3 linked regions of the Rattus norvegicus genome follow. The protein of the gene in region 2 interacts with the protein of the main gene of each other region in a pairwise test. Links are inferred from orthologs where the notes say so. Each region holds a gene or a part of one and is shown on either strand. Other genes may lie near its edges.

The links.
Region 1: the proteins of Adamtsl4 (region 2) and Cpne7 interact in binary tests that used the Homo sapiens proteins (3 or more experiments, as listed by UniProt). The two-hybrid records come from large-scale screens. The link is inferred for Rattus norvegicus from reciprocal best matches to the Homo sapiens genes ADAMTSL4 and CPNE7.
Region 3: the proteins of Adamtsl4 (region 2) and Cfap206 interact in binary tests that used the Homo sapiens proteins (3 or more experiments, as listed by UniProt). The two-hybrid records come from large-scale screens. The link is inferred for Rattus norvegicus from reciprocal best matches to the Homo sapiens genes ADAMTSL4 and CFAP206.

What each region holds. Positions count from the first base shown.
Region 1 is NC_086037.1:68,083,925-68,093,953, forward strand, and holds the end of Cpne7 (copine-7), read left to right. Parts: intron 1-437; coding exon 438-524; intron 525-843; coding exon 844-903; intron 904-1,711; coding exon 1,712-1,845; intron 1,846-2,548; coding exon 2,549-2,603; intron 2,604-3,045; coding exon 3,046-3,097; intron 3,098-3,164; coding exon 3,165-3,298; intron 3,299-5,628; coding exon 5,629-5,865; intron 5,866-6,500; coding exon 6,501-6,638; 3' UTR 6,639-7,273; downstream 7,274-10,029. UniProt on the Homo sapiens protein: Calcium-dependent phospholipid-binding protein that may play a role in calcium-mediated intracellular processes.
Region 2 is NC_086020.1:185,929,045-185,939,622, forward strand, and holds the start of Adamtsl4 (ADAMTS-like protein 4 precursor), read right to left. Parts: upstream 6,753-10,578; 5' UTR 6,437-6,752; intron 5,869-6,436; exon of another isoform or gene 5,762-5,868; intron 5,663-5,761; exon of another isoform or gene 4,558-5,662; intron 4,495-4,557; 5' UTR 4,303-4,494; coding exon 4,283-4,302; intron 3,866-4,282; coding exon 3,808-3,865; coding exon of another isoform or gene 3,793-3,807; intron 3,539-3,792; coding exon 3,201-3,538; intron 3,068-3,200; coding exon 2,470-3,067; intron 2,253-2,469; coding exon 2,150-2,252; intron 1,358-2,149; coding exon 1,221-1,357; intron 835-1,220; coding exon 630-834; intron 453-629; coding exon 280-452; intron 135-279; coding exon 32-134; intron 1-31. UniProt on the Homo sapiens protein: Positive regulation of apoptosis. May facilitate FBN1 microfibril biogenesis.
Region 3 is NC_086023.1:54,079,559-54,089,587, forward strand, and holds part of Cfap206 (cilia- and flagella-associated protein 206), read right to left. Parts: intron 9,275-10,029; coding exon 9,116-9,274; intron 7,616-9,115; coding exon 7,407-7,615; intron 7,002-7,406; coding exon 6,882-7,001; intron 5,021-6,881; coding exon 4,822-5,020; intron 2,535-4,821; coding exon 2,394-2,534; intron 1,121-2,393; coding exon 927-1,120; intron 1-926. UniProt on the Homo sapiens protein: Essential for sperm motility and is involved in the regulation of the beating frequency of motile cilia on the epithelial cells of the respiratory tract. Required for the establishment of radial spokes in sperm flagella.

The DNA.
Region 1 (10,029 bases), on a different chromosome or scaffold from region 2:
GTGTCAAGGTGGGAGGGGTGTCCTTCCTTCCCGGGACCTGCCTAACCCTCTGTAGCTGGGTGGTGGGTGTGCTGGGAGAGTCTCCTCCGACTCTTTCTTGGGCCCTGGTGTCCCTGAGGAATATCTATAGGCTCAGAATATGGCTGAGCTATAGGCCAAGGCTGCAATGTGCACAGGGTCTAACCTGGGCTATCTTGTTCATATTCTCATCTGCATGGCTTCTCTCTGTTCTGTGTGCTTGACTGCTCCCCACAGAGGCCATTTCTGGCCTCCATGGGCAGCATAGGCCTTCTGTACACGGTTGGAGGCAGTCTTGTGGAGTGTGACAGGGGTCTCCATTAGACTGGGAGGTTCAGGGGCTCCTGGCCCTTGTGGGGGAGGGGCCTGAATCCTGCTGCTCTGGGTGGAGTTTCTGCCTGTCCTTGTCCCTGTCCCAGGCCCAGTGGGACTGTGTGAATGCCAAGTACAAACAGAAGAAGCGCAATTACAAGAACTCTGGGGTGGTGATCCTGGCGGACCTGAAGGTGAGCCTCAGTCCTGCCCGAAGCCCTTAGGGAGATGGCTTGGTGGGATTAGCATCTCCAGGTTATCAGATGGTTCTCAAAGGTAGAGTTCTGAGGTGCGGTGGGTTTCATTGTGGGGTCTTGAAATACCTGGGAAGGGTGAGCGTGAGGGAGGAGAGAGGAGGAAAGAGGGAAGAGGGAAAATGCCCCACAGACTTCAGTGCCTAGGGCAGAGATGCCTAACAGGCTCCCTCTCCCACTGACACAGGCCCGATTTTCTGGGTGGGGTAGGGTGGGGTGAGGGGTCATGAGTGGCTTTGCCAACTGCATTGCTTGGAAGCTCCACAGGGTCCACTCCTTCCTGGATTACATCATGGGTGGCTGCCAGATCCACTGCACGGTGAGTCTGTGGGTCCTGCCCTGTGCTGCCTTCGGGTCCTGCCCCCTGTGCCGCCCAGGCCAACGCACCAGGTCCTAGGTGTCGTTTATCCATCTACATCCCCTCTCTTCCCCTTGATTCTGATGAAGGAAAGGATTCAGGAGTTCAGGACCAGCCCAGGGTCACCTTCTCACAGTGCAGCCAGGGCCCACCTTCTACAAAATTATAGGGACAGGAGAACAACAACAAAAAAACCATAAAGAAGAAAACAGGAGTAGGCACTGAGCTAATGAGGGGTGTAGAGTCCTATAGAGTCCATCCGGCTTAGCCTTGGGCAGACCACAGACCATCCAGAGGAGTCCATCACAGACTCCGACGCCTGCCTTCATGCACAGCTATGCTGGGTGGCTGAGCAGACAGCCACACCCAAGGTGGCCTTGCGATGAGGTGGAAGGCACAGAGGGAACCATAGCAGTTAAGAGAGAGTGTTTCCATGGTCTTGTCCCTCTGAGGGGAGCTCAGCTCAACGATTCTCCCAGGGGACAGGGTCAATGTCATCTTGGGATTCCAAGGGTGATACTTAGGGTTTTCAGGGTTTGGGGAGCTTCTCATCTCCTAAGGTGTAGCCAGTAGTCCCAGTGAACCATTAAGCTTGCATAGAGCTGAGGAAGCTGAGACTCCAGGCTCTTGACCTTAGGCTGGGCTCCGGTATCCTGTGCCTGTCCAGTGCGTGTGTGTGTGTGTGTGTGTGTGTGTGTGTGTGTGTGTGTGTGTGTGTGTGTGAGAGGGCACAGGTACACAGTGCCGTTCATCATCCTGGCCCCTGCAGGTAGCCATCGACTTCACAGCCTCCAATGGTGACCCAAGGAACAGCTGCTCCCTCCACCACATCAACCCTTACCAGCCCAACGAGTACCTGAGGGCGCTGGTGGCCGTGGGCGAGGTCTGCCAGGATTATGACAGGTGTGGCCCCACCCATCTCTCTGGGCCAAGTTGGGCTTGGGGGCTCTTCTGAAGTGGTGCCAGGCAGTGTGATTGACCCCTGAGGTCAGCACAAACGAAGGGGGAGCATCTTTGCAGCTAACATAGTAGACGTGAAGCTCAACTGACCTTTGGTACAGATCCTCCAGGGGATGGATGGGGGATGGGTTATGTCTCTAACAGGGCCCCATACCCCTTCACTGGGACACAAACCTGGGCGTTGGTTGGAAATCATCTTGTAGGGCAGAAAAATGCAGACCTTGACGTTGGGGTGATTGGCTAGGATGGGGCTGAGGGCAAACACGGATGGTCTGGTCTCTGAGCTCAACACAACGGCCCAGATCCCCATCCTGAGCTCCCTGCCCATGGAACTCCCTCTTTCAATGGGAGAAGAGAAAGTATAGTGGGGTTAAGTAGGTGCCTTTCAGGTGCTACAACCTCAGGTCAGGGTCCTTAGAGGGAGGGAAGAACAGGGAGCAGCTCCCAGTCTTCTGGTGTCAATTCTACCGTTTCCTGCCTGTGCTGTGGACAGTCTCTGCTCAGTTCCTTAGTTTCCCCTCTGTGGCCTGCCTGTAATCCCTGCTTCTGACCCAGCAAGGCCCAGGCCTTCTAGTCTCCCTCCAGTGTCTACTTCACTCACCGGGGGGCCGGGTTCCTGGAGCTGTCACTTTTGTCTCTTTTCCAGTGACAAGCGATTTTCTGCTTTGGGATTTGGAGCCCGGATACCTCCAAAGTATGAGGTAGGAGAGCCCTGGGCTGGGACCCCATCCTTCTACCCTCTGCAACCCAGGAAGAACCCTAGTTGCCACCGTTCCCTTTTGAGATGGGGGTGGAGGGAGGGGCGACCCTGGCTGTGGCCAGAGACTGACTGTTGGCCCCTTAGAGGGTGGAGCTTTAGGCACGGTGCTTGTTCTTACCAGAAAGGGACAATTCAACTTCTTACCTAGATGCTGGTAGGAAAGGGGAATTATTGGTTAGTGTGCCTCGAAGACACAGCTACTATTGAATCCAGGCCCTAACTGCCCCACATTAGTTTGTCCCTCTGTCTGCCTCCTTCTTGGCTTCCTCTCTCCATGGAGGTCTTACCACATGGGCCCCGAGAAGCAACAACCCAGCTTCTTCCCCATAAGTGGGAATCAAGTGTGTCCTGGGAAGGTCCTGTCTGACTCTTGTCCCCGCCAGGTGTCCCATGACTTTGCCATCAACTTCAACCCCGAGGACGATGAGTGTGAAGGTAGGAGCTGGAAGTGGGTTTGGCAACGTGCGACATCGGCCCAGGCTCACCCCTCCGTTCCCTACAGGGATCCAGGGTGTGGTAGAGGCCTACCAGAACTGCCTGCCGAGGGTCCAGCTCTACGGCCCCACCAATGTGGCCCCCATCATCTCTAAGGTGGCACGCATGGCAGCAGCTGAGGAGCGCACAGGGGAGGCTTCTGTAGGTGACTGGGGGCAGGGATTGCATGCACCCGGCTGTAGCACCAGTTAACTGTGTGTGTAGTCGTGGTGAGGACCAGAGAAGCAGTTATCTGGGTAGAGTTGAGGCAGGCAGTGAGGGGTGGGATGAGGGAAGGGTCCAGGATGCCAGCTGGTGGCTCCCTCAAAGCCTCAGGCAGTCTGTTTTTAGTTTAGGCAGAAGACTGAAACACTTCAAAGTCAGCCCTTATTATCTCAGACAGACACTGGTCTGCCTCAGTTTCCCTCCTGTCCCTCTGCACCTCTGCGGGTATCACATACCGGCTTTCTTTTAGGCATCCTCAGGGTGCACATTTCCCTCAGGGCCGTGTTCTGCTCTCTGTAGCCCTCTGTGTGCTGCTGAGACACAGCCAGCCTGCTGCTTTCTCTTAATTTTTCATTTTGAAAAAAAAAAATAATATTGTGCTTACAAGGGACCAGCACATGACTTCTGGCCATCCACCAAGTCGTAATAGCTACCAGCTTGCACCTTTCTTCCTTCCCTTCTCCCTTCCACCTCCCTGGTCCATCTCATCCTCTCCTCCTTCCCACCCCGTCGTCCTGCCTCCATCCCCTTCACGTATGCATGCACTAAGTGTCCTTCTGAACTATTTAAGAGGCTGAAGCTTAATGTCACTTCCTCCCTAAATGTGCATGATGCCCACGCCTGCCGGGTGGGTCTCATGTATATCAATGTCTGGCAGGGCACGGAAGGCAGCTCCTCCTGCTATCTAATCCTACTAGGTCCCTGCTCTTACCTGTCCCCAGATGCCCCCAGGTGTGGTCTGATTTGGACTTTGCTCGTCCCCTTCATCTTGACCCCCACAGACTCTATCATGACCCTTCAGACTCCACCTGGAACCCCCAGACTCTGGTCACGAGTAGTCCTGCTGCCCAACAGCACTCTGAGGGGGAGGAGGGTGTAGAGGAGGCAGCAAGCTGGTCTTCTGTCAGGAACGTTACACACACGGGCAGTGGAGCCCCCTTCAGGGTGGCAGTGGAGACCTCTCCATGCTGGCTCTCAGGATCCCTCTGTGCTCCAGGAAGGAGTGGCTCCAACAGATATCATCCTGAGTTCTAGGCAATGCTGTCCACAGTGGACAGATTTGGTAAACCTAGCCAGTGTGTCTTCTGATGAATGTACCCCCCCTTTTTTCCACAATAACTTTTTGTTTTCCTTGGGGAAAAAAAACTTTTCTTAAGAGTTGAGGTCTCCTGTTCTCCAAAAGTCAGGAAATTGCCAAGAGGAGCTGCTGAGGTGCCTGCCAGGCAAATCTGTGACCCTGAGCTTGATTCCCAGAATCCACACACAGAGAAGGGAGCAAGGCAGAAGGGTTGGGCCCCTGACCTCCATGTGGGCGTGTGTGCATCACAGGCATCGATAGTCTTTCTTTTTTAACTTTAAAAATAAGATGATTCCCAGAGATCCACACTCTTGATCGACAAATGCCTACTACGTGTCTCTTGTTCCTGGATTAAACTTTTTTTTTTTTTTTTGGTTCTTTTTTTGGAGCTGGGGACCGAACCCAGGGCCTTGCGCTTCCTAGGCAAGCGCTCTACCACTGAGCTAAATCCCCAACCCCTGGATTAAACATTTTCATTTCTTCACCTTGAGTTAATTTCAGACTTAGAGGAAAAGTTCCAACAGCATGGCCAAGAGTTCTGTCATATTCTTTTCTAGGGTCACTTTGTGTCCTGAGGTTTTATTTTGCTTCTGTTTTGAAAAAGTTTGATTTAATCAAACTATTTTTGTTGTGATAAAACACACACTATTGAAAATTTATGATTATAACCACCTTCAAATGCCCCAGCTAGGAGGTTTGAGGATATTCGTGAATTTTGCAGATTTTGAATTTCAGCTTTTCACAAGGAAACTGCATACCTGCTCACTTATGTGTTTTGACTAAACGGGGGTATTGTACTCTTGAGAATGAGAATGGACTTCTGTTTGAAACACTTCCCACTATGTCATTCCTGAAGCATGGACCGGGGCGCCATGGTGTCAGGGTGTTAGGCCGTGTCCATCCAGTAGTCCTCCTCCTTGGATATGAGACCTGGGTTCAAGCCTTGAGAGGTGGTCTTGTCTGTAAAGTGGATTCTGCAGTCCCATGACGGGTGGAGCAGCTTTACTCTACATAGTGGCCAGCAGTAATTTATGACTAGGACTGTCACGAGTATTGCATTGTGCCTGGGCACTGCAGAGGTGCACACAGCAGGGGCCCCTCCAGGGGCGGGGACTGGAGCTGGAGGTGATGTGTGTGGCTTTGAGAGGTCTCAGGGGCCGGCACCCCTGCTTCCTTCTGATGCCCCCAGCAATATTACATACTGCTGATCCTCACGGACGGTGTGGTGACGGATATGTCGGACACTCGAGAGGCCATCGTGCGCGCCTCCCACCTGCCCATGTCTGTCATCATTGTTGGGGTGGGCAACGCCGACTTCACGGATATGCAAATCTTAGATGGGGATGATGGAATCCTACGCTCACCACGGGGCGAGCCTGCACTCCGAGACATCGTTCAGTTTGTGCCCTTCCGTGAGCTCAAGAATGTAAGTGGCTGAAAGGGGGATGGCATTGAGAGCTGGGCCCTGGGGGGCGGTTCCCACTGCTCCATGCATGCATGACTTCCTTGCCCAGGATAAGGCCCTGCACTTTTTATGTCAGGCTAAAGAGTAGGCTCTGGGGATGGCTCCTGGTCAGTCTCCACCCTGATGACTGCCTGTGCAGTGAGCTTATGACCCTAAAATCTATGACACAGAGAAGGCAGTAGGGGTTCTGTGGACCTGGCACACAGCTCCCCATGCCCGCTCTATAGTAAACATGTCACGTGGACTCTCTCCCACATGCACATCGCAGGTCGTCATGAGAGAGCATGAGGGTGAACGTCTGTGCCTGGTGGCCCCTCTTTACCTCCTGTCATTACCTGCTGTGGCTGGGAGAGATGAAAGGACTGTGTTGGCCTCCCCGCACAGACACACTGGGGACAGTGTAGGCACTTCCATCAGCTAACGCTAGGACAGTCTAGGGGCTCGGTGGCTGCATTTCCACCCTGTGTCCTTAGTAGCTCAACTGACTGCCAAGTCACATGTCCCTTAAGTAGATTTGAGTCCCGGGACTGTGACCCAGATAGGGGAATAAGGATGTAGAAGGCCCTCAGATGTAACCATGTGGTCTCTCAACCCAGGCGTCCCCTGCGGCACTGGCCAAGTGTGTGTTGGCCGAGGTGCCAAAGCAGGTGGTTGAGTACTACAGCCACAAGGACCTGCCTCCTCGAAGCCTTGGTGGCCAGACTGGAGAGGCTGGTCCCAGCTCAGCGCCATGAGGATGTCAGGGGAGGGGGCTTTGAAGAGTATGTCCCAATCTACAGCATCTCCTGTGCCCCCAGAGACCCCTCACTCAGAAGCTCATCACTCAGCCCAGGCCCCAGCCTTGCTCCCGTGTTCGGCTGGCCTGGGCCAGTGGCCCGTTTTCCCAACATAAAGAGATCTAGGCCTTGTGGAGTGACAGAAATCATTAGCTCTCCCATGTCTGGGCCTCCCTGTATGCAACAGGCATAGAGCAGGGTATTCTGAAAGAGCTGGAGCTACAGAAATGCTCTTCCCCTCTTGCTTGAGCTCACCTCTCTGTCACGTCGGGTGTCAATCACACTGCCTGGCACCACTTCAGAAGAGCCCCCAAGCCCAACTCGGTCCAGAGAGATGGGTGGGACCACACCTGTCATAATCCCGGCAGCTCAGCTGTGGAAGGGGTGGTTGATTTGGAGAGTTTTGTCATTTGATCTTGTGGAGAGAGGCAGTACCCCAACCCTCGAGGATACCTATTTCTAGGCACTCTGATCCCATCGGTTTCTCTGTCCTATCTGGTACCAGTCCAACCCATGCTCATACCTGAGACCCTGGGGCCTGAAAGGTCTGTGGGAGGCAGCTTTGGGTATAATAAAGCATCCCCTCATTCTCACAGCCTTGTGACTTTCTTGCTTCAGGGGATCTGGCATGAACGTCCCTAGAATCAGGCTCACCAGGTCACCCACACCAGTCAGGGCTGTGGCCTGGCTGGGCTTTAGGTATTCCCCTCGGCTGATGTGTCAGGAAGGGAAAAGCAGCCCTAAGTGACTTTGGCTTGTACCCAGGACTCACCATGTGCCACAAGCTGTCGGCTGAGGGCAGCTTCCACCTGTCTGAGTGGGGGTGGATTTTTTTTAATTGAGATTTCCTCTCAATTATCTTGTCTGAGAAAAACAAATTGTCCCAATCCTGAATCAGACCCACCCACCTATCAATCTATCTATCTATCCACTCCGGAGCTATTTTTAGCTACTGATTCATCTCCTGTTAAGCCCGGATAATAGGCATCACCATGGTAACCTGGCTACGATTCCGGAAGGGCCGGTGGATGTTGGTCTCTTTGGGGACAGAGAGGACACCAGAGAAATGTACCTTCCATGGATATATGGGAAAGGAGACACCAGCAGGGTGGGAGATTGGAGCCCCAGGGTGTCAGCCAGGTCTGATCCAGTCCGCACAGTACCTGACAGTTCTTAGATTTGCCTGGGTTCTTCTCTGGTGAAGCCAAGGAGCCTAGGATCCCAGCAGCAGGCGGAAGAGAACGGGGAAAGGTTTATGCATGTAGAGGAGTCAGTGTGGGGGGCTTGGGAGAGCCACTGGCCGGAGGGGTGAGAAGGGACAGCCCTTCCAAGAGATCACAAAGCAAGGAGAAGGTGAGTTTCTTTCAGCCCTTGAGGAACCTGGTCCAGGAGCATGCCCTAGACTCTCGCCTCACAAAGAAATCAAGGCTCAGGTTAGTGGAGGGACCAGCCTGGGGTACCTCTGATGGGGTAGAGCTAGTACAGCTTTGATTGTCCAAGTTCCTGTTCCCGCCCCCTTTGCTGCCTTACAGCGTGTGCCATATAATCTTGGAGTCCAGCGGGACTTGTGCGAATCAAGCCCAACAGTGCGGATGGAATGGGTTCCCTGATATTCGGGGAATCTTCCAACTTAACTTGGGGAGCCTCGCTCTTGAGCATAGAGCATGGGAGTGACCCCAGGGCCTTGGGTAAAGAATTTCCAAGTTGGCTGAACTCTGGGGGGTCCTAGAGAGGCCAAGAGCCCCACAGCCTACCCTGCTGGGGCTTGTAGGTTGGAGGCGCTGGCTAGCCAGCCTAACCAGCTCTAGCTTTTAACACCTGTGGGCTTTTAACAGCTTTTGGCCTGAGACGGGGCCTCTCTGTCTGAGGGGGGTTTGATCCTTGTTCCTTGTCTGCCACAGACTAGCACGCCTGCTTAACAGGGCTTTGAATGTACCATTGAGAGGCAGGCTTACATTCTCTCGTTTTGAACCTGGGTGGACTTGGGGTCCAATGTCACTTCTACAGCTGGGTCATTAAAATACCGAGTGCTAAGTGGTCCCAGAATTCAGAAAGTGAAGGGGTCAGATTTCTGTAAGTTCAAGGCCAGCCAATATAGAATTACATAGTAAATTCTAGGCTAGCTTCAGGCTCCATAATGAGACCCTGGTTAAAAAAACAAAACAAAAAAAATGTTGGGGGATGGTGGTACACACCATTGATTCTAGTACTCAGGAGGTAGAGGTAGGCAGATCTCTGAGTTCAAGGCCAACCTGGTCCAGGGATTGAGTTCCAGGACAGCCAGGGCTACACAGAGAAACTCTGTCCTGAAAATCAAAAACAAAAAACCCCAAAAACCCTACGAATACCACATACTGACATGCTCAGTTGAAATATCAGCCTCCAGGGGCCACCAGGATAAGAGTGGCCCATGGTCACTGTCATGAGAATAAGCTTCCAGCCCCAGCCGACTTCCATCCTGCCGTAAACACATAGCTAAATGGATAAGTGACCTCAGAGTACCCCTTGTGGTGGCCCTCTCTCATCTAGCTAAGACTCAGCCCTGGCTGATGTCACTGTTAGGAGAGGAGAGACCAGGCAGAGACACAGCTGCCTTATTGGATGGATTGAGAGAATCCATATTTCTTATGCTCCGAGCCCTGCCCTTCAGCCTGACCCGCCGTGCACTCTGACATACAAAGCCTTTGCAGGAGGCTGGATGGGTGGCGTTCAGTCTGATCTGGGGTACCAGTTTCTTAGTCTAAGGGGACAGCCAGCTTCCGAAGGTCCATCCTTTTTGTTCTAAATGTGTTCCCATCTCCCTGTCCCTCCTATAGAGCCCACCGGGCCTCAGGGGCCAAGCTCTCGCTGCCTTGCTGGATTAGTGCCCATCCTGTTCCCGATCCAAGCTAGCTAGGCAGGGATGGAGGGAGTGGGAAGGACTAGCCCCACCAAGGCTGTTCTTTCTCCTGCTGCTGAGAGGAAGTGGGGGCAGGAACCTGTGACTAAGTGCCTGTAATTGGTGTGGGGGCTGAAAAGCTGTCAGACAAGCCCCACGCAGTTCGGCCAATCACACGAGAGCTGTGAGTGAAGCTGTTCCCTTCGCCACCTGCCCCTGGCCTGTCCTTCTGCATGTGGATGCTCCTTACTGGTGGGCAATCGGCTGGCTCTAGGGGTGTGTCCTCCCTGCTCCCTCTCCTCTCTCCTCTCTTCTCCCCTCCTCCCCTCACCAGTTCTAGTGCCTATACACGGTGGAGTGTCCCTCCCTTCCCAGAACTCCCTAAGCATTTGCTTAAACATTGCCCGCAGTGTTGAGCTCTCACAACAGCCCCACGTGATGGCCTATTGTAAGTGTGTGCATTGCACGGAG
Region 2 (10,578 bases):
TCCTCTTCTGGGTCTGGGGATCTTGTTTTACCAGGCTGAAGCTGAAGGGCTGGAGGCATTGTGGAAGGGCTCTCTGGGGCTGCAGAGGTGACATACTGATAGAAGACACCTGGGTTGTCCTCTTGAAAGATCATCTGAGGAGGGAAGATCACCAATGGTTTGGGGTGACCAGAGGGGCATGCACTAGGCTTCTCCCCTATCTTAGCCTCACTGCTCTGCCCTAAGGGCCCTCCCTCTCCAAGGATCTAGTGCCCACTCCAGCTCCTGTCCCAGGCTCACATAGACATCCACAGGCTGGGTGGTAGGGCCTTCTGCTGACAGAGTCTCCCCCTTGCCCTCCTCCCGAGGAGGACGGTTATACTGGAAGACGGTCCCGACGGCCGCGTAGGATCCTGGAGGATCTACAGCCCAGTTCCCATTGATAATGGAGCGGCCACCAGGCCCTCGAAGTGCTGAAAGACAGAAATCTGAGCTGAGTGATCTTCCGAAGCCTTTGTGTCCAGAAATAAGGACCTAGGCCACCCACCTTCCTCACCCTCCACCAGCCCCTTCCTGCTTGGCCCTTTGCTCGGCTGAAGAGGGTGTAGAAGGCAGATCAGAGAAAAAGGATGGCCTGGGCCAGTTCTCACCAAGGTAATTGGAACTGGGTCGGAACTGGGAAATGCGAAGATGGGAGGCTCCCGCAGGAATCCACAGGATCTTCTGATAGCCCAAGGGGCCCCCTCGGTCAGTGAGATTCCCCGAAACGAGACGGCAGGTAGAGCCGTCACCCCCACAGACTCCACAGCCATCCGGACGCCTGCCAGAGCCAAGGATCCCATCACAGCCGGGGCTCTGAGGAGAGTGAGGTGAGGCAGGGGCCACACAGAAGCCAGGCACACCTCACACCTGGCCTACTCCACTCAGGGCCCTCAGCTCGGCCCCTGCTCGGCTCTTTGTGCTTTGGGTGAGAGTGTTCTTTGGGCCCCCAAGCACTTTTGGAGTAGTTTTAGCCGAGTCTGGTAGGATCCTGCCTATGACCCACCCTTACTGGCAGCAGAGATGTTCCCTCTGGCCACCTCAGTCAGGTGTTTTCACTCTTGTAACAAATTGGGGGGAGGGGCGATCTCGAGAGTGTGTGAGGGAAGGTGCACATATACAAACCTGCCCTCCCTCACCAACACCCTGCCCTCCCTCACCAACACCCTGCCCTCCCTCACCAACACCCTGCCCTCCCTTACCAGGCAGTGTCCAGCCACACAAATGTCTAGGGATCCAGGCTGACACAGGGTCCCATCCTGCACCTTTTCAGTGTGACGGACATAAAATCGGAAGCCACGGGGGCGGCAGTTCAGTTCACAGCGCTGGGAGCCTTGAACTAAAGGACAAGATATAGATTAATTAGCTGGGGGTCCCTCCGGGAAGAAGCACCCCAGAGCCCTGACAGCCATTCTACCTTTTATCATGTGTGAGGCTTCCTGAAGTTGGTGTGGAAGGAGGGAGGGGGAGTTTCCCACGCTTAGGGTTTTATGGCTTATATCTTTGTTATGCTGTGTAGTCTCGAGTTTACGATTTGACTAAGTCTCCCATTTCATTCTCCTAAAAAGGGAAAGTTTTGCACCTGGCCATCAAGAAAAGATTCTTGTGGTTTTGTTTTAGGTGTGTATAGGATTGGGGTGCTCACGTGAGAGAAGGAGGTCACCTTGCAGGAGTGGGTTCTCTCCTCCTACCATGGGTTCTGGAGACCAAACTCGGGTCATCCGTCAGGCTTGAGGCAAGCCCCTCTACCCACTGAGCCATCCTACCACTCCTCAAAAGGGTCTCCGACACCTACGATCATAGGCTCATAGCTCATGAAGGTTTGTCAGTGTGGAGTTGACATAGCCACAAGTCCAAGTGGACAGTAACTTGGGAGTAACAGAAGATAGTGTCCTGCTGGGACCAGTGAACAGGTCTCACTCATGCCCTGCCAGATCACAGCATCTTTTAGCCAGCTCCCTCCGCCAGCCTGCTGCCTGTCCTGACCATCCACCCATCGCTTCCCAGAAAACAGCTCCCTTCTCTAGGTCTGGGCTAAGCCTCTGGGGTGACCTGCAAAGTAGGACACCCAGGAGGGAGAGAGGGGCCACCCAAACCTGAGTCGCCCTGCCAGGGGAACTAGAAACTGCACCTTCGGTGAAGGGCTCCCACTGGTACAGCTGGCCCATGAATTCCTGGGAGTCAAAGGCGGCACACTGCAGGGCCCTGGGGTCTGGCTGCTCAGGGGGGCAAGGCTGAGAAGGCAGATATACAGGAGTCAGAGCTGCAGAGGAAACCTGGGGTGTGGGCCATGGCCAACGAGGCTTGGGAACTGGTTGGTCAACTCCATAGAACACCAAGGCGTCTGCCCTGAAGTCAGAACCACCACCCTGGAGTCCAAGTCTATCAAGATGAGGACTCGGGTCAGGGAACAGTGAAAGTCTAGGGTGCAAAACCTGGAGAACAGCTCACCTCTTGGCTGCAGGCTCTCATCTGTTCACTTTCCCCAGAACATTCTGGAGTGGGGCTACTGGGAGCAAAGAGGCTCCAGTGTGGGCTGGAGTCCCTTGTCAGAGGCAGCCAGCCATCTGGGGACCTGTGAGGACTCCCCGGAGGTCTCCAGTGCCTCCGGCTCAGCTGGCTCCGGGTGACAGGAGAGAAAGGATGTGGCTGTCGCTCTGCTCCCTGGGAAGTTGGCATTCGTGGCTCAGGGGATCCCTGGAAAGACCTACTGTCTCTAAAGGAGGAAGTGGGTGCAGGGATACCCATGTCGGAGGGAGCAGAACTGGTTCTGGAGGGCACTTCTGTCTGAGCAGTTCCAGACCTTGGAGTTTCAGCTGAGGGGGAACGGGATTGGGCACGCAGTTCAGGGGGCTGCATGTGGGGGCTGTGCTTTTCAGAGGCTGGTTCTGTGCTTGGAGGCTGGGATGGAAGTGTCTCTTCCGCTGTAGAGGAGTCCTTGGGCTGTCCAGGTTTGTGAGCAAGCCTGCGGCTCCGGTGCAGGGGCAAAGCAAAGGGCACTCGCCCGTAACCGAACATCCCTGGCTTGATAGGGTCTCGAACACGGAACCTGGGAGGATGTGTAGACTTAGTCACCTCTTCGCCTGTTTCCCCGGTCTGCTTCCTGAAAGACTGGCCTGCAGCGCTGGAGTCCCCTACACCTTTCTGTTAACCCCCATTCTGCTCTGCCCTCAGAGCCTCACCTCTGGGCCCCCCGAGGCTCCTGGGTCTCCTCTCTCCCCACTTGAGAAGCAGGACCTCGAAGAGGGCCACCCCTTCCCCGAGGCTGTGGCCTATACAGGGACTGGGGATCCCGTGGAGTCTGGGGTCTGGAACCCTGGCCCCGGGGCTGGGGGGCTTCTGGATGTCTTGGGGGTCGGGGAGGGAGGGACAGGGCTGGGTGCAGTTCACATGTTCGGCTCCGGCGCTGCACCCCCACCCCACAGGGCTGGGAGCAGGAGGCCCATCGGCCCCAAGGTCCCCAGAGACCCTCAGGGACCTGGTCCTCCTCTGATGGTGTCTGAAGAGAAGGACCCAACAGCTAGAGAGGGGAAAAGGTCAGAATTAGTGTCTCAAGGTTCAAGGGTTATTAGTTGTCCAAGGTCACATTTACAGGTAGGGTCAAACTCCAGCCTTTTTTGTGGTATTTGACTAAAAGAGAGGGAATCAGCAGGGAGACTGGGTGGGCCAAACCTGATACTAGGGGCTGAAGTCTCCCTGTGGGAATGTGAAGCCACCCCCAAGGGGAGGCCGGGGTACAGTGGAGGGACCCTGGGCAGGGTAGCAGTGGCTCACTTGTCCTGGGCTCACCTCCTGATCCTGGCAGAGCTGAAGGAGAAGCAAGAGCAGCATGACATACAGCCAGAGCCTGCACAAGGAGGGGGTGGTGGACATCAGAGGGAGCCAGGCCTTACGACATTGCCTGCCCCCTCCCAGGCTCTCCACAGCCTGGTGGCCAGCTCCTCAGCAAGCAGGAGTCCCTTGTCACTCGCCAGACCCCTTCCAGCAATCCGGTCCCTGAGCTTGCTTGAGCCCTCCCCACCCCCACCCGGGTGTGTGTGTGTGTGTGTGTGTGTGTGTGTGTGTGTGTGTTTTGAAACAGTGTTTCTCTGTGTAACAGTTCTGAATGTCCCGGAACTCTGTTCTGTAGACAGTGCTGGCCTCAAACTCACAGGCAGCCACCTGCCTCTGCTTGGATTACAGGTGTGCACCACTACCCCCAGCTCCTTCCCTGCCCTAAGTATCAGAGATAGAGCCGTTCCTCTCACTGCTACCCGTTTCTTACCTGCCCAGCCAAAGCTCCATGCTCTTCCTGTGACTGCCCCTGGGCTGGGGAGAAGGGACAGGGTAGCTACTCTGGCATCAGGGATGGAGGGTGCTCTGAGGAGGGAGGAGCATGGTGTTACCCCTGCAGATATCTGGGGGACTGAAGGGCTGTCTCAGCACAACACCCACAGTCTGGAGGGGTGGGGGAGGAGTGGTCCACCCCTTTAGGACCTAAGGGTGGAAGCAAAGGATCTTTGTCTTTGTCATCTGCTGAGGAGAGGGTGGGGGTCTGACCTCAGCCTCTCAGTTCAGTTGAGTCTCCTCCCTGTGGCCCAAGATGGACTTATCTCCTCTGGAAGCCGGAAGAGGGCCTGTGTGCAGGCAGCTTGGACCTAGAGGTTCTTTCTCCTAATACTCCAGGTCCTAGAGGAGACAGGCTATGCCAGGCACCCATGAGGGGCCAGCCAGAGGCCTCTTAGTACCAGGGGTAGGGGCACAAGCCATAATCCCACACTTGGGAGGGGGGAGTAGGAGGAGCAGGAGTTCAAGGCAAACCTGAGTGACATGGGACCTCTAGCTAAAAAAATTGAAAATCAACCTCCTCCCCCTAACAAAACCCAAGAGCATTTGTTTCTTACCCCTCTTACTCTCTTACTCTCTTACCCGCCCCAGTCTTTCTTTTCTTCCCCTTTTAACTAAGCTCCTTATGGAGGAACAGTGTCATACAGCTTTTTTTTTTTTTTTTTTTTTTTTTTTGTCCAAGGGATAAACTAAGTGCTAATAGCTTCATCTCTTGAGAAGAGGCAGTGACTTATTCTCCCAATGGGTGCCAGCATCCACAAGGCATTGGCTCAGGGTGACTTAGCTCATGTACTAGTTTTCTGCTTTTTTTTTTTTTCTCTTACAATGCTCAGCCAAAATGGCTGGGGCACCTAAGGAGAGATGCAGCCTTCATAGCAGCCCATGCGTCTGAGGCTCTCCTTCAGGTATACCTGGAAAGTCCACCCTTAAGTCTAGCTGTAAACACTGGGTAGTGGGGGGCTTCTATACCTGTCCTCAAACCATGTCTCTCCCTACCCCCAGCCCCAGCCCCTTCCTTCTCGCTGAGGCCCTGCCTACTCACAGCCCTCACCCCATCTTAGTTCTGCTTTCCAGGAAAAACACTGTTTCTGCTGGATCTGAATGGCACCATGAGAAGAATCCAAGGATTGCTGGCCAAAGTAGGCCAGCTCAGGGCATGCAAAGGTCAGAGAGGAGGCACAGCTAGGTTCCACTCCCCCTCCCTGGGACCCCAGGACATGAGAATTTGAGGAGGGGATCCAATTGGCTGAGCTGAGTTCTTGGGGCTGTGGAGGAGGTAAAATGCACTCCTCTCCTTCTTCCCCTAGCTGGGCAGCCACAGAGTCCACCACTTCCCTGATGGAAGAGACCCACCCATCAGCCCTATGCCTGCCTTGGGAGGCTGGACGGAAGGAAAAAAAGGGGTGATGAACACAACCTGTCTCTTGTCCGATGCGGGTCCCCTCTCCACCTCCCTCTGCTCCTCTCTTCTCCCCCAGGTCTGTCCCTGCTGCCTCTCCGTGGTCTACCCAGTACACATAATCCTGTCCTGAGCTGGTTTTGGCAGCTCTCTGGAGAAGTGAGGGGGGGGGGGGGGGACGAGAGCTCCTGGGGCTGGGGCCAGGCCTGGCTCCCTCTCTGGAAAAGTCCACCCCACCCTCCCCCGCCTAGGGGGGCAAGAGCTGACACCCCCTCCCAGCACAAATGTATGCTGGTTGTCCCGTTTTCATGCCCAGGGTGAGAAAGACAGAGGTCGGAGATGGGCAGGGTGGACCCTGAGGTTGGAGATGAGCAGGGTGGACCTAGGCTGAATACAAACCTATGTTGCTCCTGGTCACACCCCCTCTGGGCCAGTGACACCAAGGGAAGTGACCTGAAGGGAGCTAACCTTTTCACCCCAGGTTCACCTGGGGGGGGGGGGGAATGAGCCAATGCGGGGTTGGGGGAGGAGTATGGAGTTAGTAAGGGCTGGGCTAGCAGAGGAAAGATGTTGTCCTGTCAGAAGGCCTGGGTTTTCACGGGATCTCCACCACCACCACCCTGCAAACCATCCCAACAGGTGTCCTTTCCCTCAACCTCTCACAACAGGCTGAGCTGTGCAAAGCTCACTCACCCGCATCCCTCCTGGACACACTATCCCTGCGATCCCAGAGTGCAGGCGTCGGGGCGCATCCTCCCGAAGCCCCTCAGGGAAGAGCCGGCTGCGCCAGCGCGTAGGGAGGTCCCGGTTATGTTTTCCAACTTCACTATGTGACTTAATAGGAATCTTGGCGCAAGCCCTCGCCCGGGTGATGGGACCTGGAGTCCCAGAGACCAGACCCCCTCCCCAGGAATTCGCCTCAGGGTCTACTGTTCTAAGACAGTCAGAGCCCAGGCGGGGGTCAGGGAGGCTCTACCTTCTCTGCGCCCGCTCTCTCCAGCTGCCTCCGGTGGCCACCGCGGCCCGGAGCCCCGGGACAGCGCCGCCCGCGGCAGGCTCCACCCCACGCCACCCGTGCCCCGCCCGCCACGCGCTGGCCTCAACCACCCATCCCGGGCGCCCGGGACAGCTAAAGATCATGCAGTCACACTGCAGGCACCATTCCCGCGCCCACCCGGGGGCTCGGGACCCCACCGACTCTGGAAGGGCAGCCTTTGGGTGGAGCCTGTCCTCGAAGAACCTGAGCTAGCAGCGGACCCGGAGCAAGGGGATTTGCAAACTGGACCCTTGTGGTCCTGCGCAAGCTCAGATCCGCCCAAGCCAAGGCTCTCTCCTCCACGCAGCCAATGCCATCGCCTCCGCTTTTCCCATACTGGGCAGTGAACCATGTGGCTCTGATGGCCCAGGACGTCTGTGAGCCTCGGTTTCTTCATCCATAAAATTTTACACCCTGGAGCTTAGCGGAAGGAATGCACGCTGCATTATGAGTCAGACAAATTTGGATTTGAATTTCAGCTTGAGCACATGCCAGCTCTGTGGTCTTTCATGAGCGCTTCGACGTCAGTGCGGCAGTGTCGTCTGTAGAATGGGAGAATCTGATGTGTGTGCTAGATGTTTATCCATCTCCCTGTGGAAGAATGACTGAGGAGGGGTGGAGAAGGGATGAAATCGGCTTTCGGTTTTTATTCTATTCACATTCTATTTATACGTCTTTTTTTTTTTTTAAGATTGTTTGTTTTTCTTTGAGGCAGGGTCTCAGTAGCTCTGTCTGACTTGAACTGTGTAGAACAGGCTGGCCTTCCACTCACGGAGATCCGCCAGCCATTGCTTTCTGCAGTGTTGGGATTAAAGGCCTGCCTGTGCCACGCCTGTCCAACCTGGTCTACAGGGTGAATTCCAGCCAAGGCTGGGGCAGGGGGAAGTGGGGAGAACATATAGGGCATAGTATTGCACGTTTTATAATCTTAGCACTTGGGAGGCTGAGGCAGGAGAGGAGGACTACTGCAAGTTCAAGGGCAGCCTGGGAAACCCAGCAAGTTCTAGGGCAAGCTGGGCTACAAAGTGAGATCATCTCGGTTTCAACAACAATGAAGTACCCGAGCAAGGGTTGAGAGAGAGCTCAGCCACTGAAGGCCAGGCTCACCACCAATGTCCAAACACTCAACACACAAGTTCTGGCAACATTGTCTTGCAACCCGTAAAACAAGAGGCCCCTGGTGCACCAGACTAAGGTTTCTTGGATATATCTTGTACTTTGTTTAAATTCTTAAGGCTCCAAGTCTAGTTTGAAGAGATCCTGCCAGTGGAAATGGCCACTTTGGAGTTAAGGTGTTAACTGTGGGAGCGGAGTCTATCTCAGACAATGGGTGTGTGTATATAAACCATCCTCTGGCCCGCGGTGCGATTCATGCTGAAGCTTTGCATGCAGGGTGCTCTGGGTTCCGTTCCCAGCACTGCACGGAACCAGGAAGAAAGGTATTGTTTGTTATTTAGCAAGGTCCTGTGACTGTAGGGCAAGTTGACAGGAAACTTGCTGTGTAGCCCAAACTGATCCCAAATTTCAACTTCTCTTGCTTCAGCCTGAGTCTGAGTATTGGGATAGTTCAGAATGTTAACTTTATTTGACATTTAACATGCCTTTTTTTTTTTTTTTTTTTTTTTTTTTTTTTTTTTTTGGCTTTTCAGCAAATCCTCCCAATTCCCTTAGGACAAGCGCCTCCACTGGGGTCTCTCCTTGATCCTCCTCGGTTCCAGCGTCTGTGCCTCGGAAGAGCCTGGAAAAGCAATGAAAGCAATGGGTTAATGCTCCTCTCTGGAGGTGTGGCTTCTCCAGGGACCGCTGCGGACACACAGTCCCAACCTAGCGGTGTATTTATAGAGTTGTTTTCTCAGGGAAAGCCCCTTTGCTTAGAGGGCGCAAAGGCGGATGATCAAAGGCAGCCTGCCTCGTGGGGGCGGGGCGGGAAGAGGTTTTTAAGCGGCTTTCAGCGCTGACCCTGGCGATCGATCGATCGGCCTGACCCTGATTATCAGCAGCCCCTCATCTAGGAGGACACCAACTGCAGGACAGGCAGGCTCTACCGCCAGACAATGGGAAGGCGGTGGAGGGGGAGGACGGGAGGACGGAAGGGCTGTCTTTGACATTTGTAACTCTGAGAGCTGAAGGGCACAAATACTCCTTTCCATTAAGAAATGGCTGTGTACCAAAGAGCCATACAGCTGTCAACTCCCTGGACTTGGGGGTCTAGGGAACTTCTGATGACTCAGCAACTTGGGAAGGGTAAGTTTAAAATTGTGGATCCCATCTCGGACTTAAAGCGTTTTGTTGGGGCTGGGGATTTAGCTCAGTGGTAGAGCGCTTACCTAGGAAGCGCAAGGCCCAGCTCCAAAAAAAAAAAAAAAAAAAAAAGCGTTTTGTTTGTTTGTTTTTCTTTTGTTTTTTTTTTTAATAGAAAGATTATATAAAACCTGGGCCTAGTGGTTCATGCCTGCTATCCCAGTATTTGGGAGCCTGAGGAAGAAGGATTGCTCCAAGGCCAGCCTCAGCTACAGAGAGAGTTCCAGGGCATCCTGGATTAGAGTGAGATCCTGCCATTAAAGGACAAGCTTGGGGCTGGAGAGATGGCCTAGCAGTTAAGAGCACTGACTGCTCTTCCAGAGGTCCTGAGTTTAAATCCCAGGAACCACATGGTGGCTCACAACCATCTGTAGTGAGATCTGATGCCCTCTTCTGGTGTGTCTGAAGACAGCGACAGTGTGCTTATATATAATAAATAAATCTTTAAAGAAAAAAACAAGCTAAGAAGATTATTCAAGAAGTAGATGTTCACTCAAAAGCATCTCTAAGGGAGGAGCAAATTGAAGACAAAGGGTGCTGACCAATCAGGGGTGGCACAGCCTGCTTGCAGTCCCAGCACTTGAAAATCGGAGGTGGGGAGATCAGAATATATAATATAGGCAGGCAGCCAAGGCTACTTTATTCCCTAAGGCCCAAACAGACAACAAAACCACACTGAGCAGACTCTGTTCAGAACAGGGTGCCCCTCTCTGCTAGCTAGCTTTCAGAAGGTGCTGTGTGGCAGACATCAGTGACCCTACTTGGTGGGAAGGGTAGGGACCCAGGGGGTCCCTTCATGCTATAATACCAATGTGCCAGGCAACCTCTGCTACAGGCGCAATAGCAGGCTAAATAGCAGCTCTCTGGTGGGAACAGATGCCTGGTACTGCAATTCTGGTGAAAAGACCATGTCTTGCCAGGAGGCCAGAGGCCCTGGGGTGGAGCCAGCCCTTCTTATTTTACTGAATGAGCATGCTCAGATTGTCCTCCACTGTTCTATGTTGGTACCCATGGACTTGGGCTGATCTCAGCCTCGGTCAGAGAACCTGGTTTTTACAGTGAGTGGTTGTCAGTGCAAGATGCACCCTCGGTTGCAGTTGACAGCCCAAGATTGAAGGAGCCCTGCAAAGAAGCTGAGGCCTGGCATTATGAAGAGAGCCTATAAGAGGCTATTGGTGATGCCTCGTTGCCTTGGAAGACCCCAGCATGTGGTAAATGCCAGTACCATGGGATGATCACCAAGAACAGCAAGAGTGGAGTGGAGTCAACCGTAACCTAGAATGCTACAGAGGACAGAGCCAGAGAAATGACCTAGGCCCTTTGGAGGAGCCCAGATCATGTGTGGATCCCAGATATTGGAGCAAGAAGCTTTAAAATTGAAGTTGTCGTGGATACTCCAAGATGTTAGAGATGTTGGAGACATAGGATACCTGCTGCTAACTGGGAGTGGAACCAACCCAAGAGAATGAAGCTTGTTGCTGCTGAGTGCCAGATCTGC
Region 3 (10,029 bases), on a different chromosome or scaffold from region 2:
AGGTGTGGTGGCAGAAGCCTTAACCTGGTGAGCTATCTCACCAGCCAAGAGAGCTTGATTTGTTTGGTTTTGCCTGCATGTATGTATGTGCACGTATACCTGGTGCCCACAGAAGCCAGAAGAGGGTACTAAGTCCCCTGGAACTGGGTGCTGGGAACCAAAGCCAAGCCCTCTGAAAGAGCAGAGAGTGCACTTAACCACGAAGCCATCTTCTCAGCTCCCTTCATCCATATGTATATCTTTATGTCTATGTATATTGTGTTTGGGCTTGGGTTTTTTTTTCTTGTTTGTTGAAGTTGGTGCCATAGCCTGATTAGTCTAGAACTCGATAGGTAAATTAGGGTGGCTTCGAACTCACAGAAATCCTCCTTGATCTGCCTCCTGAGTGCCAGGATTAAAGGGATGTGCCATCATGTTTAGCTTCAATCCTTTTATTAATGAAGCCAAGAGCCTCACAAGGAGACCTTGATTCCTGCGTATCTTATGATGTCTTTGCTGGGGCTCCCCAAGATTTCTCGTGACACTTTTTCCTTTCAATCCTTTACTTGGCAGAGAAAATGATCTCCTTCTTGCACCCTTAAAAGGTACCAAGCGGGTGAGAACAAGTAGACCAGAGTTCAAACTCCCAGCCCCTAATAAAAGCTAGGCATGGCCATACATGCCAGAATCCCAACACTTGCTGGGGACAGAGAATGGCGGAGCTTAGTGGCCAGGAAGCCTCAAGGAGACAGTGACCTTCTGGCTCAAAGAGCCACAGTCTCAAACTGTCAGGTCAAAAGTGAGGGGGAAGACTGGATAGCCTACTCTTGCTTCTGCACTCACTGAACTTCACTGTCAGGGAAAAACTACACAGTGAGCAATACCGAGATGCCACTTTAATTACAGGAATTACAAACCCAGGTGTTTTCAAGGGTTCCCATGTTTACCTGAGAATACGGTATGAGAGTTTCAAACTGCTGATGAAGCTCTAGTAGCTGAATTAACTCTGCATTCTTCTTGGCTTTCTCTTTGATCAAATTAATGTAATGGTCTGGATTTTCTGCAAATGAATATGCGGCATCTCTGCTGTTGAAAGTATAATATTTTTCTTTATATTTCAAAATACCAATCGTTGGATTTCCTGTGAAAATTAAGAACGATAATTTAATTAGTCATGAACCAAGCAATGTTGTGTTTGTGATAAGCCATAGGACCAACATGTCCATGGACATATGTGCACATACATACATACATATAGACATATGGCTAACAGTACGACCCAGAGCCTTTCACATACTAACTCTGTACATGTACCATGTGCTAACCCGCTACATTCCTGTGTCATACTAATACAGCTGGTGGAAGCTACCTTTCTTACAGCCTGGTGATGACACTGTCCAAGGGTGGCTTGGCCCTCTTACATTACTTATCCCTCAATAAAAGGCCTCCAAGACATGTCTAGAGGTCAACCTGGTGGTGGCAATTTTTGAATGGAGGTTTCCTCTTCCCATGGATGTCTTGCTGACAGCTAGGACTAACTATGACTTAGCCCCCATGGGTTTGCCATTCCCACTGCACACAGAACTTTTGAATAATAATCTATTGCCTCCCAATATCTAATTTACTTTTCATTTTATAAATTTAATGTTGTTATGTATAATGTAGATGCCACAGAGAAATGTTACTTAATAAGATATTTCCTTAGAACTTAACAGAGAAGTCCTAGCCTGTGTTAGTGAAGGGTAGCTGTGGAGTGATCACGAACGCTTTTTAAGTGAACACATTAGTTAAATAAGTCTTTTTTGGTAACTCTCTCAAAGGCTCTGTCTTTAGCACGGCTACACCATGCTTCTGGGCTCCCTCCGTACAGGAGAATCATCCCCGTCTCAAGGCATTATAGAGTCCATGTTGTATAATGATGGCTGAGTGTCCCTATTGTGAAATGTGAAATGCTCCAAAATCAGAAGCAGTTTGGGTTCCTTCACGACCCCACAAACAGAAGTTTCATGTGATAAGTCACAGTAGAAATGTGGTGCGCTAAACATAGTGTACTCTTAGTATGCTAAACAGAAAACGTCTATGAAACATCAACAGATTTCTGTTTAAACTTGGGTCGTATCCCTTAATAATCCCATTCTCTCCCAAACCCACAATTAGAAACATTTCTGGCCTGAAACATTTTAGATCAGGGACGGGCAACCTGTTACACCTCCCGGCCCTCATTCCTTACAGTCTCTTGTTCAGGCTATCATACTGTCCTTGAAGCACCTTCAGGTGAGGACGGCGCCAGGTCATCTCGGCATCTCCTCCCTGGTTCACCGTCCGAGTCCACACAATGTTCGAGGCTGACACAGTGCGTATAAGCAGGCACTCGTACAGAACAGGCAGGGAGTGCAGACTCTTTAACAACATACCTGGGAGGAGAAGGCCATCAGTTACAGCAAACGTGTAACCGCAAAATCCACGGTACTGAATTAACAGTTTGTTAAAATTGGCTGTTGTCTCCGGAAAAAGCCACTCCAGTACTCTGAAATCTGCCAACTGCACTTTTTCTTCTGAAATGAAAGAACAGGAAATGGTTTTCATCCATTGAGAAGGTGCAATTTCTGAAATAAGTCAGCAGCACGTCATTCTAAACATTAACTTCTTTCAAATTGGCAAAGTCTCCCCTGGTGTACACAAAACCACTCATTGGGGGTGATATTCATGTAAAGGAGGGTGAAGGCCTCAGTGACTACCCAAGCCAGCAACTTGCTGAAGCAAAGGTAGAAACAGAACTTTGCTCCGGACTGAACCCTGAGAGACCTTTCAGAAAAGCCTGTTCTGCAGGTTAGGGAAAGGCAGACCAGAACACTTCTGTCAGGGTACGTAATGGTCCTGCTGCCACACAGTAAATGACCCAAGGAGATGAGCAGAAAGACCTGTTCTGTGACCAAGAGTATCTCCTTCATTTAGGATGGCCCAAGTCTTGATACAACGCTACATGGAGAACACTTTGAAGACAGCACTACATAACTAGACTGTATCTCAAAGCTGTAAAGACTTCCAAATAGGAAGATGTCTTTTACTAGCTTAATTTTGATTAAAACGTATAAATTTTTCTTTAGGCTTCTTTCTTAAATAGCTGTGCTTATGTTATGTGTGTGTGAGTAGCTACATATGTGTGTGTGTGCACTGCATGCGTGTCTGGTGCTCCAGAGCCAGAGGAAGGTGTCGGATTCCCCTGGTGCTGCAGCTGCAGCCTGTGACACTGGGGTCCTCTTAGGAAGCAGGAAATGCTCTTAACCGTGGAGCATCTTTCCAGCCGTTCCTTGGACCTTTAAGGACACTTCCTCATACCAGTTGCTTTACGTACATTGACAACTAAAAGGAATAAATTAGATACGAATCATACATTCATAAAAATTGTTTCCCAACATTCTTAACTTTTATAATCACACACACACACACACACACACACACACACACACACACACACACACACACACACACATTTTTAATATTCCTGGTGCTAGACCCAAACTTCCAACAGCCTGAATAAGCAGGTGTAAATTCTTTCAAAAGAATATGGCTCTCCGAGTTCGAGAGAGAATAAGCTGATGAAATATTCTAATGAAGAGAAAGTTCTGACTCTGGTAGGAAAGACGGCTCTAAATCTAAGAAGTTGAGGCTGGGCTGAACAGTCACTAATGAACTTACTCCAACTTTTCAATTTCCTGTCATATCTGCTAGGACATGACTCACTGTTTTGATGAAGTTAAATAAGTGGTAAAAACTTACACTGAGTGGATATGGGGTATCCTAGTTAGCTTTCAGTTTTTATAGATTCTAATAATTTAAGAAACAAATTCACTGTTACATTTTTATTTTCTAGTTTTTTTTGTTTTGGGAGGGTTTTGTTTGTTTGTTGGGTTTTGTTGGTTCGTTTTTTTACCAAAATAGAATCTGAAAAAGAAATTAGTAAACTTCTAACTTCATTTTTCTGGAAGAAGTTTGAGTGTTAAGTTTTAAGCTCTGCGTTAATATTTCTTGCGAAGTTTAGGTTGTCTGTAATTAATATACAAAAAGTAAAAAGCTGATAAAATGATTAAAAGTTGACTGATTATGTCAACCTTTCTGGAAGAATCAATACGTCAGCAGGCGGTGGTGGCACAATCCAGCACTCTCAGGAGGCGGCAGCAGGCAGATCTCTGTGAGCTTGAGGCCAGGCTGGTCTACAGAGTGAGTTTCAGGACAGTCACCTCTACCCAGAGAAACCTTGTCTCAAGGCGGGTGGGTTATCGATGTATCTTTAAGGGGCTTAAGATTAGCTAAATTAGTTCACAAATTTCAACTTGACACTAAGAAGATGTGTTGCAAGTATCATTCTTTAAAATGGAGCTTTATCTGCAATGAAAGTAGCAAGACTGTTTCTCAGTACATCAATTACAAAACCAGCCCCCCTGCGACATAAATACACAGACACACAAGATGGGGACGTAAGGGACCTCAATAAGAATTAATTTCTGGAAAGTAAGAAACTCAGTTTCCACTATCTATATTTTTCACGCTCCACCACCCTTTTTTTAAACAGGGACTTCTATAGCTCAGGCTGGCCTTGAACTTACTGTGTAGCCTAGGCTGGCCTTCCTGCCTCCACCATCTACACCCTGGAAACTCAAGGTGTGCGTTACAATGTCTTGCATTTTCCCCCATACTTTCTAGAATGAATATGAGTCTTTCACAATTAAGATGTTTAGTATTTTATCAGAAAGCTAGAACGTGACTATTTGAAACTAACAAGAGTGACTTTAAGGGAATGGGAACTTAAAAGTGAAGGAGGCAATGGCTAGGGTGCCTTACCTAAGTGCTCCTCTATCCGAGTCATATCGGTTTTCACGATGACGCCATCGAGAAGGCCTTGCATCACTTTCTCGGGAAAGAGGAGGTCATGGGTGCCCAGGAAGAGCTCCAGGTTGGTGGTCAGGTTGCTGAGGACGCTGATAAGAACCGTCTCATCCTGGAAGCTCGTCCACAGGCTGGCCAGCGCAATGAAGATGGGCTAGCAGGAGAGTACACAGACAAAGTGACTGTGTGACAGAGCCATCGCTGGGCCCTTAAAAGCCACTCGCTCCTCTACACATCCAGGCCTTGTCAAACTAGCAAAGACTCGCAAGTCAGAAGAAGGAAAACCAGTGTTTTCTTTCCAAGTATTTCATTTGGCATAACTGTTATTAAGTTAATTTACTCAAGAAGTAGCCAAACACATTTGATCTCCTAAGAAATAGTATTTATTACTTTACCTCAAAAGGTCAAGAAAGAAAATACACTTGGAAATTTTTGTTCAAAAACTAAAAAACTCACTGTAGTAGATTTCCCTGGCCCTATCATGGATCGAAAGAACCTGGAAAGCACACAGCACATTTTCTGGTATGTCAAGGGAGCCGAAGCTAAATCTTTAGGTCAGTGACATAAATATCTTACTCATAATAGAAATTAACATTTGTAGACTAAACAGAAAATCAACCAGGCCTCACATAAAAGGGTCTTACTTTATAAAACAAACATTGAGAACACCCGCAGAAAGTTACCATGGTTTCAAGTGCTCTACATACATGCAAAATGCATGTGCATTTTACAACTACCTTGTTCAGATTAGGGTTGCAACGTTTTTCTATAAAACAGTACTGTTGATCAGAAAGTCACTGCGTGGTAAATAGAGGGTTTCTTCCTACACTGTATCACACCCGTGCTAGACTCCATTTCGGACAGTACTGTGAACATATTCTCTTCCTCTCTTTCTCCATCCCCATCTGTCTCCCTGCCTGCTGCCTCTCTCCTCCCTGCGCCATCTCTCTCTCCCCCAACCCATGGTGTGTGAGATCGTATTCACTCTTTAGCCTATTTCTTAAGTCAGAATCTCTCACTGAACCCAGAGCTCACTGATTGGCCAATATAAGAGCCGGAAATCCTTCTGGCTCTGTCTACACAGCACGGCATCTGGTTTTGATATGGTTGCTGGGAACCTAAACTCAGGTGCTTGTGTGACTGTGTGGAAGGCCATTACCATCTTCTTCAGTTCTGTAAGCACACTTTCAACACTATAATGGACTGCTTCTGTGGCCACAGGTACTATGGTCCTCGTCACTAGAGATTATGATTTCCTTCATCAGACTAACAAGCAGGCTGTTACTGAGACTTGATCATGAAGAGCAGGGCCAGTTTGTATACAAGGAATGGTGGGTGTTACATAATACCATTCTAGTGGATACAGTTATAAGGAATTCCATTCACTTTATAGGACTCAAAAGGAGGTCCAGCCTTAAGAAACTGCACCGGACCTGGTGGCACATGCCTGCATTCCAGCACCCAGGATGTGGGCACACGAAGATCCACATTGCAGGACAGCTTGGGGTAGCTACAGTACCCAGCTATAAAGTGAGGTACTGGCTCAAAACAACAGAGCAAACCAACCGCATGCCAGGGAGTTGGCTCAGCAGTGAGCATTGGTCCAGCTGGGGCACAGCTGGGTTTGATCCCAGATGAGAAACGCTTTGGATTATTAGTGCGTAAAAATTCTCACAAGCCTGACAGCCCGGGCTTGATCCCAGGATCCCACTAACAAAGTACAGAACCAAGTCCTGAATGTTGCTCTCTGGCCTCCACATGAGCCGTGTGGCATGCCCCTTCACCACAATAAAATAAAACGCATCTTAAAGAGTCCAAGTCACTGGGTGGGGCACACCTCCCTCCGGCCCTCCTTTCCTCGTCCCTCCCTCCCAGCACTTGGGAACAGAGGTAAGGGGATCTTTGTGATCTGAAGCCAACCTGGTCTTTCGGAGCAAGCTCCAGCCAGTTAGGGCGACACGCTGAGAGCCTGGGCCACAAACACCAGGTAGAAGGGGATGCCGTTGGGTACTCACGAAGACTTGTGACGTTGGGACCGCCGTCTTGGATTTTACTGTCATTTTCAGCTGCTCCAGCTGAGCTGCCAATTGTTTTGTCATCAGCTCCACTTCCTCAGCACAGGTGATTATATCTGACTGTGACGACAGCACGACTTGCATTCACATTTTATAGTTTTACCATTGATACCATGCGTTAAACCCTGCCTGCTCCCAGCTTCCAAGTGACAATGACCCTGTCTGTGCCAGCTCCCTGCCAACAGTGCAAAGCACACGCTCTCAAGTAACAAGTGTTACAAATGCACACACACATCACGGCTTGTAGCATGTTACCAATCATACCAACAAGTATTAAAGAGAATCGACAACCGTAAATTGGCTTCTCCCAGCACCGTTCCACTGAGATCAAACCTAACTTTGCTGTTTCTGTTTTTAAGCCCTGGTCACGCCAAGGCAATGCGGACTTCCTCCTCTGTGAGTCACTTTGTTCTCAGGGGCGACTGCATGATACAGAAAATGCCAGATTTTGCCACATTAGCTCACCAGGACAGTCTGCAGGAAGATCTCGTACTGTCGAACATTATACAGCGCTTCCTTTAACATGTACGGCTGAAGTTCTTTGGCCATGAGCGGGTTGTTTGTTACCTTCTCAATAATGGCCGTGTAGCGAAATGCCTGTTCTTGGGCAATCTGAAGCTGGGAGTCGATATGGTGTGTGGTGGCTGGGATTGCTTCGAGGAGAATGGCTGGCACTGTGTGTCAGGGGACGAGAGCAGGGGCAGGAGAGAGAGGAAAAGAGCCCAGAAAATAGTTGTATTTTTAAACATTAAACTGAGTCAGATTTTTCCTAGCAGATTAATAATAATAAAGGCATCTCTTTCACAGTCGCACCCCATGCAGAAAAGAACCTTTCCAGACCAAAACAAAAAAAAAAAACAAAAAAAAAAAACAAAAAAAACCACTGTCACAATAAGAAAGGTGGAATCAGATCCACTTTTCTCACTAATTTTAGAAAATGTAGGTAGACGGTGGTGCCATGTCCTGTGTTTGCCGTGCGCCTTTAGAAGAACCACTGAGTTCCTGTCATAAAAGCAGATTTAAAACATATGTGTGAACTTTATCTGGACCCGAAAAATAAACAGAGCAGTCTAGCAGGGGAAGGCTCTCTCTGTCTGGTGGGAAATTGATTTTTGTAATTTTTACAGATATCTACATATAGTGCTTTATCTACCTAGAGATCTGTGCAGCATTGTGTGCAATACCCACAGCGGCCAGAAGAGGGTGCTGGATCCCATGTTCCAATGCCATGGAACCATTATGAGTCACCATGCGGGTGTTGGGAATGAAACCACTCTCCTCTCTAAGAGCAAATACTGAGCCAGCTCTCCAACACTGGAATTTGAATTTTTATAACAACTTTTAAGAATAAAAACAAACAAAACCTTTGTAGGGTTGGAACTCTGTGGTTTCCCAGTCCCCAAAAGTTAGGAAGGCAGGAGAGAAGACAGGCAGGTGTCTGTCTGGAATACCCTGCAGCTAGTGTTCATCTAGTGATCTAGGTAAAAGGCAGTAACACCTTCTCAGCAGGCCTGCAGAAGGATAAAATTCACATGGAATTATTTCTTCATTAGGTTCTTTATTCAATACTTTGTAAGTATTTTCAAATTTACAAGTAACAGATGTACTGTGGCTGTGGTGGGGCACACCTTTCATTCCAGCATTTGGGGGCCCGGGCAGGTGGATCTCTGTGAATCTGAGGCAAGCCTGGTCTACAGAGCTAGTTCCAGGCCATTCAAGGTTACACAGCGAGATCCTGCCTGAAAACTAAAAAGAAGTAAATAACAGAGCATTGTGAATGCACCAACATGGGAGTGTTTCTGATTTTGCAAATGTTGGCACGTCTTCTCTTTGGTCTTTTCATCCCACTAAATAGACCAGCACCATTTTCTTCCCAAGGTGAGTTTTACTTTTAAAGTGGTTTTCTTCCCCTTGGCTAGCACGGAGTAAACACTGCTCCCTCATTCAAGGGCTGACTGGGTTCCTAACACTAGCTCCATGGTACAGAAAATGTGAAGCCAATTGCCTCAGCAAGGAGAGAGCTCGCGTGCAGAATGAAGAGCAGTTGTTTCTAACAAACAGAACTGCCTATCCTAAGTTGGACAGTGTTGGTGGCGTGGTGTGGGGCCTGCTCCACTGTGAAGTTAAGCCTTAGACATGCAGAACCTTGAGGAGCAGCTTAAAGATTGACTCACAGTCATCAATGCCTTCTCCTCCTTTCCCACAGTCTCTGTTAAATAGCCGAATTCCAGTCACGATCATGGTGAGCTCTTTCAACTGGCGTTCTTTGTCCTTCTTACTAAGAGTCAGAAATGTGCAGAGCTCGGCCTGAGGGAAAACACTCTGAAGGGCAGCTGGAACAGGTGAACAGGAGAAACACATGGGCAGAAACACTCTGGTGGGACAAAGCTGACAGACCTTAGATTCAAAGCTTCTGTCTGTCTATAGAAAGTCGAGAATGTGTCTGTCTGCACCTACACAATTTTTTATACGTATGATACCTGCTGCATCACGCATAGCAAAGGTTACCATGCCTGGTCTGGGCTACTGAAAATAATACTATTATCCCATGTCTCTGTCCATATTAACTGGTAAAAATAATCTTTCTATATAAGGCTTTGAGAAGAAACATCTATACTTTAAAACAATAAAGGAACAATACAATAGGAAGGCTGGATACCTTGCTTAGTCCCCCACTATATATTGGTTTTGTTTCATGAGGGAGGGGGCCCCGTGTAACAGACTGGCCTCAAATTCAATACATAGCTGAGGATGGCCTTGAACCTGATTTATTTATGTTGTGTGTTTGTGAGTGTATACCACATCGGTTCCAGTCTTCTGGGGGCCAGAATTGGTGTTGGAGCCTCTGAAGCTGGTGCAGTTTATAAGCTACCTGACATGGGTGCTAGGAATTGAACTCGGGTCCTCCAGAAGAGTAGCAAATATTCTTAAATACTGAACTATCTCTCCAGCCTGTGAGGGTTTATGTTTAAGTTGCTTTTTAAAAATTACCACCATCATCGTCACCATCAGCAGCACCACCATCACCAACACCACCACCACCACCATCACCACCACCACCACCACCACCACCACCACCACCACCACC